Canis lupus familiaris: one gene and its partner. The protein of the gene in region 1 interacts with the protein of each later gene in a biochemical or structural test. Links are inferred from orthologs where the notes say so. Each region holds a gene or a part of one and is shown in the gene's direction. Other genes may lie near its edges.

What was found.
Region 2: the proteins of VLDLR (region 1) and DAB1 form a complex in vitro, tested with the Homo sapiens proteins (2 studies listed by BioGRID). The link is inferred for Canis lupus familiaris from reciprocal best matches to the Homo sapiens genes VLDLR and DAB1.

Annotation. Positions count from the first base shown.
Region 1 is NC_049222.1:91,940,299-91,946,379, forward strand, and holds part of VLDLR (very low-density lipoprotein receptor precursor), read left to right. Parts: coding exon 1-271; intron 272-369; coding exon 370-492; intron 493-579; coding exon 580-702; intron 703-1,160; coding exon 1,161-1,280; intron 1,281-1,428; coding exon 1,429-1,554; intron 1,555-2,587; coding exon 2,588-2,759; intron 2,760-3,358; coding exon 3,359-3,577; intron 3,578-4,453; coding exon 4,454-4,572; intron 4,573-5,112; coding exon 5,113-5,252; intron 5,253-5,578; coding exon 5,579-5,720; intron 5,721-6,081. UniProt on the Homo sapiens protein: Multifunctional cell surface receptor that binds VLDL and transports it into cells by endocytosis and therefore plays an important role in energy metabolism.
Region 2 is NC_049226.1:51,838,075-51,844,594, forward strand, and holds the start of DAB1 (disabled homolog 1), read left to right. Parts: upstream 1-2,731; 5' UTR 2,732-2,868; intron 2,869-6,520. UniProt on the Homo sapiens protein: Signaling adapter of the reelin-mediated signaling pathway, which regulates the migration and differentiation of postmitotic neurons during brain development.

The DNA of each region.
Region 1 (6,081 bases):
GACGAGCTGGACTGCGCGCCCCCCACGTGCGGCGAGCATGAGTTCCAGTGCAGCACCTCTTCCTGCATCCCCCTGAGCTGGGTATGCGACGATGACGCCGACTGCTCCGACCAGTCAGATGAGTCCCTGGAGCAGTGTGGCCGCCAGCCCGTGATGCACACCAAGTGCCCAGCCAGCGAGACCCAGTGCGGCTCAGGCGAGTGCATCCACAAGAAGTGGCGCTGCGATGGGGACCCCGACTGCAAAGACGGCAGCGACGAGGTCAACTGTCGTAAGTAGCCACCTTATCAGTCCCACCTGCTCTGTGCCCCCCTCTCAGGGTCTGCCTGGATGGCTTGGCTGACCCTTCCCGCCCCACCGCCTCTGCAGCTTCGAGAACCTGCCGGCCTGACCAGTTTGAGTGTGAGGACGGGAGCTGCATCCATGGCAGCAGGCAGTGCAACGGTATCAGGGACTGTGTGGACGGCTCGGATGAAGTCAACTGCAAGAACGGTGAGGGGCTCCTCCTGGGGGTCAGTCAGAGGACTGCTCTGAGCAACCCCACCAAATGGAATCTTGCTTTTGTGTTTCTCGTTGTAGTCAATCAGTGCTTGGGCCCTGGAAAGTTCAAGTGCAGAAGTGGGGAGTGCATAGATATCGGTAAAGTATGTAACCAGGAGCAGGACTGCAGGGACTGGAGTGACGAACCCCTGAAAGAATGTCGTAAGTGGAGGGGTTGCCTGAGCACAGTTGGGAAGGTTCATGACATCACCCCTAGCTAATGCTGGGTGGACCCTGCACAGGGCCTGCTTACACCACTTTTAAGGAACCTAGTCCAGTTGTTGGGCTTCAGGGTGGCATTTTTTTATGCCTTAAAAGCAAAAGCAGTGACAGACTTGTTCATAGTTTTAAATTCCTTAAAGATAACTCATCAGCAATGGAGATACTTGGCTAAGTACTACGTAGCCAGCTGGTAACCTGCCAAGGAGATTGGGTTTCCTATTCCCCAAACCCTCTGAGATGCAGATCTTGAAGACAAATTTTTGGACCTTAGGAAAATCATGGGTTTGACCAGACTAATTAGATAAGCGATTGCAAAAATCCGGGAGTGTAAATGTTAATCAGAGCACATATCAATTTGGAGTAAAGTGTGGGGTAACTCTGGTCCCTTTTTATTTCAGACGTAAATGAATGCTTGGTTAATAATGGTGGCTGTTCGCACATCTGCAAAGACCTAGTTATAGGCTATGAATGTGACTGCGCAGCTGGGTTTGAACTGATAGATAAGAAAATTTGTGGAGGTGAGTCCAGGAGGGAGCCTCAGCCCTAGTGCAGGGCGGGTGGGAGGAGGCTGTTGGGGGTAGGGGTAGTAGAGGAGGAGATGGGAAAGGACAGCATCTCACTATAGGTCATGTAGGAGCAGAAGACTAATGTTCATTTCCCTCCTAGATATTGACGAATGCCAAAATCCAGGAATCTGCAGCCAAATTTGTATCAACTTAAAAGGCGGTTACAAGTGTGAATGTAGTCGGGGCTATCAGATGGATCTTGCCACCGGCGTGTGCAAGGCAGTAGGTAAATGGACTTGGACTGGTGTTGCTACCTTTATGAGTAACCGCTTGCACCAAGGGTACAGCCAGTGATTCCCAAGAATCAACTAAATATGGAATTAAAATAGTATACAGCCCTTCCTTGACTTATGATAGAGTCTTACTCCAATAAACCCATTGTAAGTTGAAAATATCCTAAGTCAAAAATGAATTTAATATACCTAACCAAATAAATATATATATACCTAACCTACCAAATATCGTGGCTTAGCCACACCTGCCTTAAATGTGTTCAGAACTCTGAAGTCAGCTTATGGGGGGGGCAACATCTTCTAACACAAAGCCCCTAAAATACTGAATGTCTCATGTAATGTATCGAGTACTATACTGAAAGTCAAAAGCAGAATTCTTGCAGGGGTGCAGGTAGATGTCAGTGCATTAGATGTTCACACCCTCGTGATCCTGGGGCTGGTGGGGAGCTGCGGCTCACTGCCACTGCCCAGCATCATGAGAGAACATCATAAGAGAGGACGGTCGCACGTATCACTGGCCTGGGCAAAGATCCCAACTCTAAACTCGAAGTGTGGTTTCTACTGAATCCAAACCACTTTTGTACCATTGTAAAGTTGAAAAATCCTAACTGGAACCATCCTAAGCCGGGGACTGTCTGTACTCCGAGCAATGCTACTTATTCACAGTGCCGTATCCTACGTTAAACAAAAGATCCTTTCCCCGGACACCTGCTTTGGTCAGCTTCTTTTGCATGTGATACCATGAATACCTACCAGGTTTGCTTACTTTCTGCTTCCCAAAGTTGAGTGCAATCTGTGAGTAACGTGCCAGCCACCCTCCTGTTGAATGCCGTGACCCCAGGACTGCCTCCTTGAACAGCGCAAAGTGCTTGCAGTTTCCTGGGGGCACGGACTGCTGCCAGCACACTCGTCAGGTGTTTCAGCGGTGCCTTTACTTTATAGATGCTCCTCCTTTGGGAGAAGGTGACTCGGAAGGACCTTGCCTTCTCACAGCGAAACTTAGTAAACCTGACTCTTGTCTTGTAGGCAAAGAGCCAAGTCTGATCTTCACAAATCGAAGAGACATCCGGAAGATTGGCTTGGAGAGGAAAGAATATATTCAACTAGTTGAACAGCTAAGAAACACTGTAGCTCTTGATGCAGACATTGCAGCTCAGAAACTGTTCTGGGCTGATCTGAGCCAAAAGGCCATCTTCAGGTAACTTGAGTTCTCTGCTTAAGTGCTTCAGCCTAAGTCTTTGACATGTGGTCTTTGGGAAGGTTTGGAGGAATTTCTAGCTCCACTCTAGCATCTAATTAGCTGGGACTCTTATGTCTGGACACTGATTGATTCTTCAACTATTAAGTTACCATTAGTTCCTCATTAGAAACTAACCATCACGTATGAAGTAAAAGGTGGCTGTAGCTATAGGATTATAAACAAAGGACATCTTCACTTCTCCTCTTGTCACCCCTTACTCTCTAATTAATGGATACCTTTTTCATAGTTGCTACCAATAGAAATGGTAGTGGCAGCTTTTTCCTAAGGGGAACTCTAGAAATTCAGATGGTAGCCACTGCACCAAACAGCTTTGCTTAGAAATGTGTCATTCTTGAATATCAAGGTGTACCAGCAGCTACATAACAGTATTATTTAGCATCGGTAAGAAGCACAGTTAAATAATTGGAGTGGTGAGCGATGGTGTTACCAGAATTTCTTCTGAACAAAGTTGTGGATCATTTTGTAAGCAGGAAGCCCATTCTCCAGGCTCTGGTGGTATCAAACTCCTAAATTTCTTGTGACCTATTCTGTTTCAGTGCCTCAATTGATGACAAGGTTGGTAGACATGTTAAAATGATCGACAATGTCTATAATCCTGCAGCCATTGCTGTTGATTGGGTGTACAAGACCATCTACTGGACTGATGTGGCTTCTAAGACTATTTCAGTAGCTACCCTAGATGGGACCAGAAGGAAGTTCCTGTTTAACTCTGACTTGCGGGAGCCTGCCTCCATAGCTGTGGATCCACTCTCTGGGTTTGTAGTCTGTTTTTCTAGCCTTTTGGATGCTATCTGTATGCCAGGAGCTTTCCTTCTGGCCGGAATAATATTGAAACCCCAGGACACACAGCTCCCCCACAACAAAGCAACATCCTGTTTAAGATGTCATTGGTGCCACAGTGAAGCAAGTGTGCTGCCTTATCGGCCCTCTCTGGCAGTATGACCGCCGGGTGACATGAAGGAAACATATTTGATGCACACCAAAAGCTGTATCTTAACCCTGATGGCCGCCCAGCTTCTATGCTGGGTGATTTTCTATTTTAGTCTGAATGCTTTGTCAGGTTAGCTCCAGGTGATCGAACCTAAGTATTAGCACTTGTTGTGAGGATTTTGGTAACCATGTTATTACTTCAAGGCTTTTGTCTAAATGTCCAAGTTGTGTGAAAGTCTACATGAAATAAATGGCTCTCTCCAGCAACATTTGACATGTTTCCCTAAATTGGTGCTAAGTAATATAGGAAAGCAGCTTAGCAAGTTACTAAAGCTGTGGTAATGACCCCTGGCCCCCGTAAATCCTCGCTAGAATGGTCAGCCAGCCCCTCTGATAGAACCTAACACATATTCACCTTTCAGTTCTCTGAAAGAATTGGCCTTTTGTAAAGAAGTCTATAACCTGTGACTTGGGCTTGAAATATAATTATCACACTTAGATAGATTAATATAGCTCATAATGAGCTTGTATATTCTTAGTGTTAACTTCTGTTTACTCAGGACATAATTTGGACCTGTTCCTGTTACTGTTGGTCTCTAGACTTTTGTAGTCATTCTTTAAATGTGTGTCTCAAATTACACATTTATCCCTTCTAAACCACTGAGGCTTTTTTTTTTTTTTTTTCATTTAATTCTTCCCAGGTTTGTGTACTGGTCAGACTGGGGAGAACCAGCTAAAATAGAAAAAGCAGGAATGAATGGATTTGATAGGCGGCCACTTGTGACAGTGGACATCCAATGGCCTAATGGAATTACACTTGGTATGTCTGTCCTTCCTTCCTTGGCCACCAACTCAATGGTCTCTGCTGCTTTCGCTTCCCTCCATAGTTTATTCTGGACTACAGCAGACAGCTCCCATGGTTCCTTTAGTAGCAAGAATTTTGGATGAGAGTAACTGACCAATGCAAGTCGAGTACTGGCCTTAACGAATTACATGCTCCATCATTACTAGCTTTTTGGTCCATATGGACCTAATATGTGACATGAATTCAGTGCATCTTGGGCCTTGGCAACTCTCATCCATCAGGGGAGAGCAATATGCTAGCTTCCTTTAACACTTCTATAATGTGAGTACCATTTCTTAAGTCAGCTCCTTTGAAAATCTTAGCTGCTCCTTGAATCCCCCAGAATGAGTGTGGGTACAGATTCTGCATGCTGCCTCTCCAGGTTTCTGGGACCCCATTTGGAACCCATGCTGGAGAAGGAACCATGAGATTAGAATATTGGATTCTCTGGGTATTTTCAATGGAAGCCAGGGTGGTGATGGCCTATCATGCACTGACAATTCTTTCCCTCTCTAGACCTTATAAAGAGTCGCCTCTACTGGCTTGACTCCAAGTTGCACATGTTGTCCAGCGTGGACTTAAATGGCCAAGACCGTAGGATTGTCCTTAAATCTCTGGAGTTCCTAGCTCATCCTCTGGCGCTAACCATATTTGAGGTGAGATGTGTGCATCATGTCTAAGTGTGTACCTCTGAGTTACTTCAGCACTCCCGGGGAGAAAGGACAGAACAGGGATGGGGAAAGGAAGGATGGGTGGAGAAGCATGACCTGAGAAACTGCTCTCACTGCCATCATGGGATGCATTAGATACTCGTTTCCTCTAGCACTTTAAGAAGCCCCAACTTGCTTTCCACCAGTTTGACATCTAACCTCCCAGAGCAGTGTTCAGTAAAGTTGCTTCATTAAATTACCAGAAAATAAGATGAATACAGTATCTATGGTCATCATTAGGTGTACCTGCTAATTTGGAGGTTCTGTTTTAGGATCGTGTCTACTGGATAGATGGGGAAAATGAAGCAGTCTACGGTGCCAATAAATTCACTGGATCAGAGCTGGCCACGCTAGTAAACAACCTTAATGATGCCCAAGACATCATTGTCTATCACGAACTCGTCCAGCCGTCAGGTAACATGGACAAGCACAGCCCTAACGTCTGTGAGGACGGCAGCATGATGTAATAATACCTGCTTGGCTGCCAGTAGCTCTTGAGCAACTCAACTTGCTCTAAAATGGAACTTTCCCCTCAATACCCTACCTCGAACACTTCAAATGTGTTTGTTTTTTGTTTTATTTTCTATATGTTCTTTGTTATTTTCTTATGTTCTTTTCACTTCTGACTTCCTAATGAAACAGAACTTTAGCTCCTCCCTTCCCTTCGTACCTTCAGCATTCAGTCTTTCATTCAGGCTTTTCCATACCTCTTGGCCTTCATTCCCTTGTACTAAGACTATTGCACTACCCTCCAAATTAGCTCTGATACCACAAA
Region 2 (6,520 bases), on another chromosome or scaffold:
TAACTCTGTTGTACTTGGGCAATGGACAACCCTGATGAATTCTTTACATTTCTTGGCTTAGGACTACAGATGTACCCTACATTGGTTCAGCACTGTTGATACACTACAATTAACAGTATTTCCTGTGAGGTACTGTTGTAGTTGTGCATATGACTGGTCCATCTATTCAATCGTATCTTTTTTCAAAGGCAGGAGCTGTCTTGTTCATTTGTCTCTCAGTCTCTCTGCATATATTAATGACATTACAGAAAAAGCATGAGTTAGTATTGGTAGAAGTCTAGGGGCCTGGGCACTCCATGCATATACCCTTTTGTAAAGAGACGTTTTCCCTTTGGTCTGGTAACTGTGCCTAAATTATTTGAAGCCTATAGGACCTATCCTATAATAAAGTGATATAACTTTTTCATAGCCCAGTGATTTGGATTTAGGTGCAAATGATATGCATGAATGATAAAGCATGATTGATTTTCAGTGATATAGCTAGAGAAGATTGGAGGAAGACTTGTCCTGTGAGACCCAACACATGTATATCTGGGTCCTCCCCATAGGAACTGTAATTCCACCCAAGTTAGCCCTATGAAAGTTTGCCATTTGAATATCAACTGCTTGGAGAGGTTTTCTCTGAATGCCCCATATACCTAGCTTTCACCATCACTCTCCATCCTTAACCTGCTCCATTTTTATTTATTCCACTTAATAAAGTAGAATACCACCCCCTTCTCTGTTATATTATTTTTTTACTTATTATCTATCTCTCTCATTAGAACATCAGCCTAATGAGGGCAGGATCTGCCTCTATTTTGGACCCTGCTGTGTATCCTGACCTCCTTTAATAGTGCTAGGTACAAGGTAGAAGTCTTCAGAATGTTGTTTTATCCAGAGTGGCCTGAAGTCACAGGGAACTACCCTTCTTTGCTCTTTAATCTGCTGGTAGAACCACATCTTTTCCCTTCCAGAGCCTTTCAGAGACCACAGATGACTCCTATCACCACTCCTGTACCCATGACCCTACCTGCTACTGCACCAGCCTGGGACAGAGGGAACTATGACAATAACTATGCTTCAGACCTCACACTCCTGTTTCTATGGCCACTGGATGTCATGGAGGCTGCAAGTGGCAATTAAGCTTAGTTTTGTCCATTCATAATTGGAAGGCCTATTTCTCCGTGGAAGAACTCCTTCAGATAAAAAAAGAACCTGTTTTTATGCCTCCTTTCAGGACTAAGGAATGAATCTCTAAATAGTTTGAAAGAAATTCTTGAAACAGATTGAAATATCTTAGTGCGTAAAGACTTGCCTTCTATTCTTGACTCTTCCTCTACCAGCTGTATTTATGGACAAATGACCTCACCACCATCCCCTCCCCAAGCCCTCACCACCCTCAGCGGAGCAATAGAGATGGGAGAGACTTTCCTGTGTAGCTCACAGGAAGAATTAGTCTAAGTGCTGCTTGAAAGAATCAAGGTTAAAAAAAGAAAGAAAGAAAGAAAGAAAGAAAGAAAGAAAGAAAGAAAGAAAGAAAGAAAGAATCAAGGTTCTAATAATCACCCTCGAGATACAACACATTACAGAGCATATCAGCCAACACATGCCCTAAATTCAAACCAGTTTTCTTCACTCCCTGCAGCTGCTGTCACATATGGTGGTGACCCATAGGGTCTGTCGTGTTGCTGCTACTGATGATGACGATAATGATGATGATCTCTTTTGACTCATTTTTCAGGTGAGATTAACACTATTGAATACTTCCTCTGAGACAGACATTGTGTTAGGCACTCAGCAGGCCTATTCACATTTTCTTCAAACAATTAGTGTGTCAAAAAATAGGGGTGTCTGGGTGCCTCAGTTAAACATCCAACTCTTGATTTCGGCTCAGGTCATAATCTCAGGGTTGTGAGACTGAGCCCAGTGTCAGGCTCTGCATTGGGCCTGAAGCCTGTTTAAGATTCTTTTTCTTCCTCTGTCCCTTCCACTCCCCTTCCCCCCACTGGCATGCGTGCTCTTCTCTCTCTCTCTCTCTCTAAAATAAATGAAGTGTGTTATAAAAATAGTAGAGTGCTTGAAGTACATGAATATTAAGTGTATAGCACAGTGAGTTTTCTGTGGATGCATATGCTCCTATAACCGGCATAGCAAAATAGACAATATTCCCAGCATCCCAACAGTCTCACTCATGGCCCTTCCCACTCAGCACCCCCAGAGGTCTCCACTATCCTGATCACCAGGTAGTTTTGCCTCTTCTTGAGCCTCATGTAAATGGAATTATACAGTCTTCTTTGTCTCTGGCTTCTTTTGGTCAACATGACAGTCTGAGATTCCTTCCATGTGTATGTATCATGGTTCATTCTTATCTGTTGACTGAATTCTTATCTGTTCACTGTTAGAGTGAGTCAGACACTGTCTGAAGTGTTTTACATGTATTATCTCACTTAATTCTTTATACTACCCTAAGGTAGGGACCATTATCTTTCTTTCACAGATATGGCTCTGAGAAGTTACATAACTTGCCTCAAGTCACAGAGCTATTAAGTGGTGGAGAGTCAGTTCTGGTTGCAGAGCTAGAGCTGCCTAGCAAGGGCCAGAACTTGACATGCTTTCAGAATTAGATTCAATCAGATTTGTTCCCAGTTTAAACTGAAGGTCATATGATTATTTTGTGGTTATTCACAAAGGGGTTTCTATGGGAACTTTCATTCCATCTGAATATTCCATCAGAACATTTTCACTCCCTTATTAATTGTCAGGGCTTCTCACTCATGCATTTACAGATTTGACTTGCTTGCCTGCCTGTGGCTGCCCTGCTTCAGGACCCAGACCACCTTCTTGGGACCTCTACGGGAGGCTGTTTTCTCCAGCATCACCTGCAAGGTTAAGCTGCTTAAGGATATCTTCTTCCTCCTTTCAGGGTGTGATCTTTGATGAAGGAATCAGAAGTACTGCCTTCTGGTTCTGTGGCTACCTTCCCAGTCTGAGCTTGTAGGGGTTTCTAAGGAAACAAAGCTGAAGTAGATTTTTCTCTCCATCCTGGTATAGCCAGACTTGCAGTCCTCCCACCCTTGAATCTCACCCTATCCCCCTGGTGATGGATGGTCCTCATCTAGGGTGAGCTTGGGGGGTGGACAGCCTTTGACAGAGCACAGGGGTCTGTGAGACAGGGACCAAATTGCTGCTTTGGACAGCCCAGGCCTGGCCCCTGGAGCTCACAGGGGTTGCCTATAAACTCATGCGACTTTTCTCTTTTATAAATTCATCCTCTGAACTCATATCTCTGCTCTGTATAGCTTTCCTTCTAAACACAGTATTCACGCCTTTTCCCCCAGGCTCTGAACTAATCCATTACATTTGGCTAAGACATAGACAATAGGTAAATGCCCCCTTGCAGGCTAGAGAATTAAATAGATAATCTGAGCTCCGTTTGGGTCTGTGGCTCAGTGCATGGGGTAATTGGTAAGAGGCTTTGGCTTTCCTTCCTCCATGCAAATGAAGAGAGTAAGTAAAAGCAAAAAAGAGATGGAGATGGAACCTTTCTGAATGCTGGCATTCGAGTCACTATGATAATCAGAATACACAGCTTTCCATTTAACCCTTTGTGAGCCATTGTCCCTTAGCAACTTCTCTTAATCAGTGGAGAGAAACTAGCATTTGCACTGATGGTGCAATGGACTCCTTACCCAGTGTGAGTTCCTTGCATGGTAAACTGTTCCTTGTTCATCACTATCCTCAGTGCCTACAGATGTTAGCTCAGAGTGGACATTTAATAAATATTTCTCAAATGTTCGCATCCTTGGCAGCGTAAAAGTGATTTGTGTTGGGAGCTATACAATGCAGTAGAAAGATCCAGGGTAAATAGATGATGTGCAAACCATTAGCCCTGGCGATTTGAAGGCTCTGCTGGATTTGGTTTTGGATTCCAGCAACTCAGAGTTCACACATATGGTCCAGATGACTGTGTTCTGGGTTGTTGCCTACCCCCTCTTTCCTCAAGCCATTCATTCTCTATCCTGGGACACCTCAATTTTAAGTTGCCTCTTTTTTTTTTTTTTTAACAAAGCACTCAGTTAAGGGGAGTGCTGGTGCCTGTGTCCATGGCTTCTTGGGGCCAGCCACCCAAATACAGTAGCTGGAGCCAAATGAACCCACAGAGGAGGAAGCCACAGATCTTCACAAAGACTGGCCCTGCTGTCAATTGCCATTTCCTCGCGCTGGCCTCAGCATGGCCTCGGAGAGCACAATATACACAAAATTATAATGTTATCACACAGGCTGGTGCCCACGGCGAGGACAGCCACTTAGGAAGGCGCACACCAGGGGCAGGAAGGCACAAAGGCCATTCGGAGGCTGAAGTCAGATGTATTTATATTTTTAGCAGAGGGGGGCTGAAATACAATTTCAATGAAGATTGCATTATGGATTATTACTTGAGAAAGCTTTGGCAAAGGACTAAGGAGAGTCTTTCTTTTCCAAAGGGGGCTTTTTCCTCCACAGGGGTTAAGGGAGATGGGAGGAAAGAGAAAACTGCTGCTTCTATTTTCCGAAGCTGACTCGGGGTTGCTGTAGTGATAATGTGTGACAGTTTCCTAAGCAAATTTCCATGTGATGTGTGTGTTTGCGTGTGTGTGTGTGTGTGTGTTTGTATTTTATTTGAACAACTCAGGCCCCGTTTGGTAGACAGAACAGATGCTGTTACTACCATTTTACACAGTGGAGACCAAAACTCAAGAAAATGGTGTGCTCACATAATTAGCTAGACCATTATAAAGTCCAACTTTCTTCATATAACTTACAGGGTTTATAAGCAACAGTCATTGATCCAGCTCTTACATGTCACTCTTCCCACTACATTGCCCTCATAGCCAAACCCCTTCCATGGTCAGCTTGCAGGCCTTTAATGTTTCATCTTGCACTTTGCACATGCTTTTCCTTCCTGTCCAGCCTGCCCTCTCCTTCCTCTGTTTCCTCCTTCTCCTTTGGATGTCACCAGAGAAAGGCTTCCCTGACCTCTCAGGACTGGGTTCCCTACCCTGTCTGTATGAGACCATGCAGCCTGAGTTCATCCATAAACTCTTCCATGTTTCTCACTGGATTATAGTTCTCTCCTGAAAAACTAACACCCTGAATTGCTCCATTGATTCTACAAGTGAGTGGGAACAAAATGTATGGGAGGAAAAGGTAAAGGGTTTAGCACACCATAGGAGCCTGGCTGCACTTGAAACACACCCAGATTGGGAAGGGCTAAGTGACACAGTAAATCAGCTGCCTCAGAGCAACTCAAGCACAAATCACCTTTCTGGGGTTCTAATTTCACTCTTCCACTTAAGGTACCACTTGGGACAAATCACTTCACCTTGCTTGAGCTTTAGTTTTCTCATCCAAAAATAGGTAAGCAGGTGGCAGCTGAAGTAAAATAAAAGTGGTAAAGTATACCATAAGGTAGAACTAGCACTAAATAAATCTTTATTAATATTGTGCAAAAAAAAATATTGTGCAAACATCTCCATGATACTGTTGATGAGTGAAAGTCACATGATCTCATTTGTGTAAAAAAAAACAGTTATGAGACAAAAGGACTGTAACACCTTTGACACACTCTGAGAACTGAATTTCAGGAGGTACTCTATTCCTTATAAGACAACAGACAAAAGCAAAGAAAAATACCAACTTCATGGATACAAAAAATTTCACTGTCAGGAGACATTGTGCTCATTCTCATACAGCTTGAAAGTCTTTCATCTAGAAGTCATTCACTGAATAAATGTTTGCTCACTCTCTGCTGAGCACCTACAATGTGCTAGGCATTGCTGTCATGCCACTCCTATATCTGCCGTCATGGCTTTGCTTGCTCTGAGAACCTGGGCCAAAATGCTTGTGCCAGTTATTAACTTATTGGCTTTCGGCTACATACCCATCTTTCTGTACTTGGCTTTGTGATGCTGGGCCTGGGACAAATCCGGATTTCTGCTCCACCTGCTGGCTCCCTCTTAGGCTCTGCCAATAGGGAGCGCTAGAGGAAGATGCCATGGCTGGATGGGGGAAGATGAGATTTAATTCCATGCTTGCTTCTTGTTCCTCTTCCTGTTAACCTACAATGGTTTCTCAAGTTCGGCACTATGGACATTTCAAACTTGGTAATTCTTTGTTGAGGACGTGCTCAACCCTGCAGAATATTTAGCGGCACCCTTCTACTCCACCTACTAAATTCCAGTAGCAATCCCCCCACAAGTGGTGACTATAAAGCATACCTCCAGGCATTGAACAATGATGCTCAGAAGGCAAAAATCACCCTTGCTTTAGAGCCGCTGGGTTAGCATCTAGGAACAGACACTTGTTCACCTCGGAAGCTGCAGTTCCTTCTTGGAGTAGCTGCACACTTCTCAACACTTGCAGACCCAGTTGTAGGCCACATCTCAGGAGACTCTAGCACCAGCCGACCTGTGCCTGTCCTCAAGAGTTGGACTAGCTCCTGGGGTCCCTCCCATGGGCTCAGCCTCAGCTGAGTAGTGCCCTGAATAGTGTCTCAGTT